Linked DNA regions of Arabidopsis thaliana. The protein of the gene in region 2 interacts with the protein of the main gene of each other region in a pairwise test. Each region holds a gene or a part of one and is shown on either strand. Other genes may lie near its edges.

The links. Proteins that work in one complex are often made in the same cells at the same time.
Region 1: the proteins of BRM (region 2) and HB53 interact in a two-hybrid assay, tested with the Arabidopsis thaliana proteins (one large-scale study listed by BioGRID).

The regions. Positions count from the first base shown.
Region 1 is NC_003076.8:26,632,184-26,635,940, reverse strand, and holds HB53 (homeobox 53), read right to left. Parts: upstream 1,667-3,757; 5' UTR 1,536-1,666; coding exon 1,080-1,535; intron 410-1,079; coding exon 179-409; 3' UTR 56-178; downstream 1-55. UniProt on the Arabidopsis thaliana protein: Probable transcription factor that may play a regulatory role in auxin/cytokinin signaling during root development.
Region 2 is NC_003071.7:18,920,573-18,924,329, reverse strand, and holds the start of BRM (transcription regulatory protein SNF2), read right to left. Parts: upstream 1,798-3,757; 5' UTR 1,130-1,797; intron 1,054-1,129; 5' UTR 1,027-1,053; coding exon 853-1,026; intron 556-852; coding exon 1-555. Other genes in the region: AT2G46000 (LDL receptor wingless signaling/trafficking chaperone), read left to right, coding at 2,283-2,600, 2,741-2,869, 2,957-3,136; AT2G45990 (ribosomal RNA small subunit methyltransferase G), read right to left, coding at 3,287-3,387, 3,466-3,542, 3,644-3,706. UniProt on the Arabidopsis thaliana protein: ATPase subunit of a multiprotein complex equivalent of the SWI/SNF complex that acts by remodeling the chromatin by catalyzing an ATP-dependent alteration in the structure of nucleosomal DNA.

The DNA of each region.
Region 1 (3,757 bases), on a different chromosome or scaffold from region 2:
GAAAGATTTATATATATGGAACTAGAAGAAGCAAAGTGATAATAAACAAAGTAATATATTAAAATAAATACTGAAAACAACACATAATTACAACCGTTTCACCAACACCTATTTCTACATTACTTATAATAACATGAGTTGCATCAATAAAGCACGAGATATTTAGTTGATAAACTGATTATACATACAAACCATCCCAATACTCCATGCTTTGTAAATAATTATTATCTAACATATAAAACGGGATGTTATAATTAGTTTCCGGGGCAAGCTCGAAATCAGTTGGTGCATTGTTGGCTTCAACAGAAAGCGATGAACTTGAACTGTTGGTTGGCATTTCTTCAAGTCGTTCCGACAGTTTTCGAATTTCACTTTGAGCTTCACTCAATTGTTCTGTTAGTTTCAATATCTACAACAGCAAAAAAATACATCATTAGTTAATACCATAGTTAATCACTATGTGAAGAAGAAAATCTTATATAAAACTCTTATTTAGTACCTAGATAAACAAAAATAAGAGTAATTTTGTTAACCAAAAAAAAAAGATATATTTTACTACCAATTCAGTGAAATAAATAGTGTTTTAATACAATGCAAAGTTAATGTCAAAAGAAAAAAATTGTTATAAATTAATTTTGTTATTCATCAAATGAGGAGGATATTTTCTGGCATGTCAGCCCAAATGCAGAGAAGGGTTTTTTACGTGGCATTAAATGAGTGGGCAACTGTAAATGGGCCACTCATGAGCCCAACTGAGATTGTACGGACGGAACTTTTTTTTTTTTTTTAATGGTGGATAAGAATGAGATGACGAAATATCCCACTTTATTATATTTGTGGTGTGGTCCCAAACATGTGTTTTTTAGCTAGCTACCGGATTTTCACTAGTTGTAAAATTCGATTCAACTACATTTCACATATGTGTAATAAATACTCAAAATATACTAATTGACGAATAAACTATATGTTAATTATCTAAGAACGGATAAAATTACTCATCTTTCGAAAAAACAAGCAACATGAAATTAAGAATCACCAAATTTACTCTGTTTTATAGTGAAAAAACATAAAATTTATACCTGAGACTCGAGTTGGCATTGGCCGAGTACGACGTTGTCGTGGTGGTTTTTGAGTTTGGCGTACTCTTCCTCTAGTTTCTTGTTCTTCCAACGTGCACGGCGGTTCTGGAACCAAACAGCCACCTGTCTCGGGTCAAGACCTAACTCTCCGGCGATCTTCTCCTTCCTCCCTGACTCCAGCTTATGCTCGTTCCCGAAGCTATATTCGAGCATGTTCACTTGTTCATCGGTCAACTTCCTCTTCCTCAACATCCCTCCGATCTCCGCCACGTCTTCTTCGTTGGTGGCTGATGAACCTTTACTCCTCCTCTTCCTCCTCCGCTTCACCGGTTTTGATTCTTCGCCTCCATCGATCTGGTTAACGATGATGCAGTGTGAATTTTGGGGTTGGGTCGTGTAGGGGTACACTTGAGAGCCTAGCATCATTTGATCATCCATTAACCTACCATGATCCATTTTCTCTCTCTAGTTTTTCAGACAAGAGTTGCTGTTTTCTCTGACTGTGTTTAAAGGAGAGTGATGCAATAGGATATGACTTTGGTGAGGTTGAGTCCTATGAGATGCTTTTTATAACCTCAACGACTGTGACCCCTTATTCTTGGGTCGTCTTTCCCTTTATTTACACTTATGCCATCTGTTTTTATGTAAAAAGATGTAATTGAATAAAGAATCATTAATTGTGTGGTATGCATGTATGAGACGAATTGGATATACATATACTTTTCTATTTTTATGTTTAATGGGATGTACTTACCCTAAATGAGAGAATACACTTGCATGGTTACATTTCTTCCAGATATACTTGTTCTCTAGATTTTTGCACAATGTACAAACGTAGTTAAAAGTGGAGAAACATTTTGTTTCACTTGATCCAAATTATGAAATAATTTATCCAACAAGAAAACATGTATCTGTTTTGTTAAGGCAAGATATATTTGATGGAAATTTTTGGATGTTTAAAATTTTCATTTTAACTTTATATAAAAGAAATGTTTGTTGGTTATGTTTCAAAATATTTAAGAGCTTCATTCTTTTTGATCAGATATTTTTAAGAACTTCATGTAACGAAAACATTGTCGCATCCCATCAGAATAAGTAAACATAAAAATAAGGTGGCTGACGACAATTCTGGACAAGAGACGTGGTGTGGATCCCGAAGATGACCAAATTTTGGAGGAAGTAGTAAACAAGCGATCCGATCATTTGTGGATAACTATTGGGTATATATGTATAATATAACATAAACTGTCTTTGTCTTTGGTTATTTTAGTTTTTACTGTTAATTAGTCAATTTTGTAGGTTATTTTTTCTTTGTTTTCGGAGCTCGAGACCACTCATTTTCCTTTGAAAAGCAGTGTGCTCCTCTTTTTCCCATCTTTCCTATAGATTATTATTTTACACCAGTGACTAGGAGTCTATAACCACGAATCTTCCCGAGTTTTCTTTCTTTATATTTAAACATTGTACTCTATTTTGTCGTCTTCAACAGTGTTATAATATTCCACACCATGCGATTAATTGAACATAGCCTGCTTTAATTTACTTTGTACGTATACGAAACATATTTTTAAACCCTTCTCTTTGTACCATTTTAACGAAATTTCTTCAGCCATAGATTATCATGTAATGTGTTGACACAAGACAACTTACGTATCATCGACGTTGCAGGTCTTTGAGATTAAGGTCCTATTTTGGTGTATGAGAATTATATATACGTCTGTTATAGTTGAACTAGTATTTCTTGATCAAGGAGGAAGTTAAGGTTCCGAGTTTGAGACACAACAACGGGAGGATAAAGATTGGCCATAAGGAGCAAAGACATAAACGCTTTCATGCCTTCATTACTTCGTACCAAAAACCTTAAATTATATTCCTTACAATTTGTTTAGTACATTTAAGGGAATGAATAATGTGGTGGAATAATTAAAGATTGGCCACAAGCAGCAAATACATTAAAGCTTTCACACCTTCGCTCACATGAATTTGGAATGCATGTTTAAAGAAAAATTTAAAACACCACACTTGCACAAAATAACCAATAAAATGAGTTGAACACATGTTATGTTAATAATTCTATTATGTTTGTTCAACATGTTTTGGTCAATCTCTTCTATCATAACCATATATTGCTTTCGTTTTTAGCATCATGTTCTGCACTATCCTTTATCACCATTCGAACACTAAAATTATATTAAATTTGTGGAAGGCTTAATTAGTAGAAGGGTACGTGGTTTTTTACAATGCCTTGCTTTCGATTTGTAAGGTGTTCAACCCTAGCTTCTAAAGGAGAAAAAAACATATATACAGAATTGACACGACTGATTGGTTTAAAATAGTATATGATAAAATATAGCAGTCAACACTTTTCATCTTAAAAAACGGTCACTTGATACATAAGGTTATAGTGTGCCTTTTTAGGTGAGTAAAAGAGAGATAGTAATGTGTGGGCAACGAACACGAATCATGGGAAGGTATATAATTAGGAAGAACTAAATAATTCACAGAAGAAGAAAAATAAAAACAATGTATTCCGACATTGAGTGACGGCTATGCACGTGAAGTTCACGTGGACTTCAAAGAGGGACGAGGATAAAATTCAACTTATCTACTGGGACGTTCCTTGCAGGTTGAAAAACAAAAAGAAGAAAAGATAATAAGTTGGAATCAAAGTGTCAAAT
Region 2 (3,757 bases):
AAGCTGCTGAGCCTGTGGTGCTTGCATTGGCCTTATCATATTTCCAGGCATTAGTTGTCCGGTACCCACCTGCTGCTGAGGATGAGATTTTGTTTCGTTCCTTTGCTGAGAACTTGATTCAGTCTGCCTTTCACCGCGAGCAAACTGATCGCCCGATGGCTTCGATGATGAGGCCTGGGGCTGACTAGACGGATTCAAGTCTTGCATATTCAACATTCCCATTCGTGCATCTTGATCCTTTCCCACACTTGATGAACCCACCATTCCCATCCTAGCTTGCTGCTGTGCTTTTTGATGCTGAGCCTGCATAGCAAACTGAATATACGCTTGCTGCATTGGATTAAAATTTTGCTGGCCCTCTTGGGTAGAAGAACCCTGTTGTTGTTGTTGTTGTTGTTGCTGAGGAGACTCAAAAAAATTTCTAGACTGCTGAGGCATTTGCATAGAGCCCGGAGACGAAGCAAAGTTGCCACCGCCCATCATTCCCTGAACCCCACCAGGTTGATATGCAAACATATTTTCGTTTGTATCTGAGTTTCTGTGCTGCTGCTGCTGCTGCCATATCAGAAGCACGATAATAATTAGTAACAATCAAATGAACAATAATCCACAATTCAGAGCAACTATATATATATGTGGAAATGAACAAAACATGTTCTCCAAGTGGCTACCATTACACAACTTCAATTTAAAGATATTGGTTACTTTCCTTTTACACAGAATTGATAAACAGTCAAGTCCCACTAAAATTGAATAGCCGCAAGTTTAACAGACAAACATTAGCCACTACAAACAAGCATTTTATCCCTCCTAAGTCATAACGAACCAAACAGAGACTTGAGAATCCTTTACCTGCCTAGACGCCAGCTGCTGTTGCTGTTGCTGCTGTTGCTGTTGCTGTTGCTGCTGCTGCACAGATGAAGAGGAAGAAGAAGGAGAAGCAGCGGATGACGTGGAAGCAGTCCGACCAGCCGGACCCATGGCCGGATTCCGAGCGGGCCCTCCGCCACTGCCTCCAGATTGCATGCAATTGGTCGAAGAATCTGACAGTCACTACACTGGAAACAATTAAACCCAATGCACAACGAAGCTAGTAGAAGAAGACAAAAAAAAAGTGGAAAAACCCTACCCAATAAATCCCTACAAAAGAATTCGGACAGCGAGAGCCCCCGAGGCAAAGGAAAAAACCTCAAATAGCAACAGAGAGAGAGAGAGAGAGAGAGAGAGAGAGACACTGAGTCGGTTGAAGCGCACACACCTTTCTATTTCTCTCTCTTCTTAGATTTGCATCGAATTTGGGGGAAATCGGAAAACGAAAGTCGCGGGGGATGCAACGGTATAAACTCAGATCCTTTGAGATGGCTTCTCGAAAAATAAAAATAAAAAGGGAGGGAAACGAAATCCACGGAATCGATGATCGATTCCTCTCTTTGAGAAATTCACGCAGATCAGAAATTTCTCGCAGTCAAACCCTAGCTGGCTTCTTACTTCCCTTTTTCTTTTTTTTCTCTTTCTTTTTTTTTTTGGAAGGGGCATTAATTTTATTTTATTTTTGATTGTAGGTCCCACGCCTCGATACAGTTGGAACACGGAAAATGCGTTTCACGAGGCCACCCCTCGGTTTTCGCTTTTATTACCACAAGTACCCTTCCTTATACAAGTCAGTTGCACAAATGACGATGAGACACGTGTGAATTTACCAAACGTTCCTTTTGTTAACCAAATGGAATGACTTTTAATTTTTCCATGTTTATTTCAAATATTTGTTTCCGTATTGGGTAATAAGAATACTAAAATGATACTACTATAAACAAATTTGGAAATCAAAAAAAGAAAAAAAAAAACAAATTTGGAAATCAAATTAGACTTATGTTTGTTTTACTTGATTAATTAATTTGAATTTAAAATTAGACAAATTTTGACTTTTAGTTTTACCTTCTGTAGTGCAGTAGTAGATTAGAGAGAATCATACAATTACCCTTGTTTTATTTACGGTGCAACCTCGTGTCGTTTTCATCTTTCAGCCTTGATATGCTTGCCATCTTTACGTCAATAGTTGGCACGCAGTTCTATTTTAAGATAGAAAAACGGCGAACAGTTTTGAACCAGCAGGTTCAGTTTATGTCGTTAATAGTTTTTTTTCCCGAAACAAGTAAAAAGTCACATTATTATGGTTTTGTGACTTGTGTGCGAGTTTGTAGAAGCTTTACTGATATAGAAATGCCGTTGCCGATGCAGTCTCTCTTCCTCTGTTTCTGATTCCTGAATAAATTTGTTAAACGATGGAGAAGATCGTTCGTTCTTCTTCGCTGATTCTACTTGTTGGCCTCCTTCTTTTTATGAATTTTCACGGATTTGTCCGGATCGCCGAAGCAACGAAGCGACGGATCGAGATCTCCGATGACCTAGACGACGTTGAAGACAATGAAGAAGACGAGTCATGGAAAGAGTGGGGGAAGAAAGCAACGACCCCGGAATTTGATCCGCCTCCGGATTTCACCAATATGGGATTCGATCAGATCCAAGAGGAAATGGCTAAACGGACTTTTGGAACCGTCGTCGGTTTCGTCAAGCTCCGGTTAGGCGTCCCCCGTACCAAGGTAAACTAAAATCCAAATCGAATCGTGAATTTGGGGTCCTTAAGTTATAGTTTCAGTTACTGTTCAAAATTCTCTGAATTCGATATGGGTCCAGTTGCTTCAGGGGATTGAATAGTGATCTGTTTATATGTTTCAATCAGGATGTGGTGATTGATATTGCTATGAAATGGACAAAAGTTTTAAGAACAGGAGGGATAGGAGTAAGATTCATGGCTGTAGATCGAAGCACAGTGATGTTCAATATGCAAAATGGGAAGCTTGTGACTGAGGTAAAAGCCACAGAAAACACACAATGCTGAAAACTTTGTTTAGTGGATTAGTCAAAATCTAACATCACAATCATATCTTTCAATTAGCTAAGGGAATTCGTGCTGAGCCAAGAAGAAGCTTACGAGGTCAAGATAGGGAAGCAAGAGTTTAGAAGACCTGGAGATCCTCCATTTGAAGATGTCTTTGACAAATTTCAAGCTGAGCAAAGGAAAGATCACGAAGATGGTGATGGTAACAAGAATGATCTTACTAAGGATGAATTATAGGTCACAGAAAAGCTTCTATAATGGGTAGTACTGAAAGTTCAACTCTTTTACTGAATCTTACCTAAACATGTTTGGTTTTTAGTTTCCGTTGAATGCCGTAGAATACAATAAAGAGGAAAGCTTTGTTTCTTTTCCAATGAGTATATGCACTCATTTAAGCTTATTGCTAAACGTGGAGAGCTCAATAACCTGAATCCTGGGAATGCCTGCTGCTTCAGCTCTCTCTTTCTCAGTGTTGTATCCCCAGGTTCCTGTTTTGAGATAAGTTTTTGTCAGAATAACCAATAAGGGGAACCAGAAGTGATGATATGGGAGAGGGAAGAGACCACCTAGGTATAAACTCCATTTGTCTAATTCAGGCTCTTTTATGACATTTTTCAGCGTTGCGAGTCTGTCTTCCACGAAACTGGCCAAATTAAAAATGCATAGGGATTGTAAACTAATGGTGACCATTACCAAGTCATGCAGATAGAAGAATTATTGATAGATATATAGAACGTGAGTTACTGCAGCGTCAAGCCCTGATGTTCTGGTTTATCTTGAAGTAGCTTTAGAACTTCCACCTTTGGCCTGATGGGATATCACACAGAAAATAAAACTAGATTAAGGGTAGAATCTGGA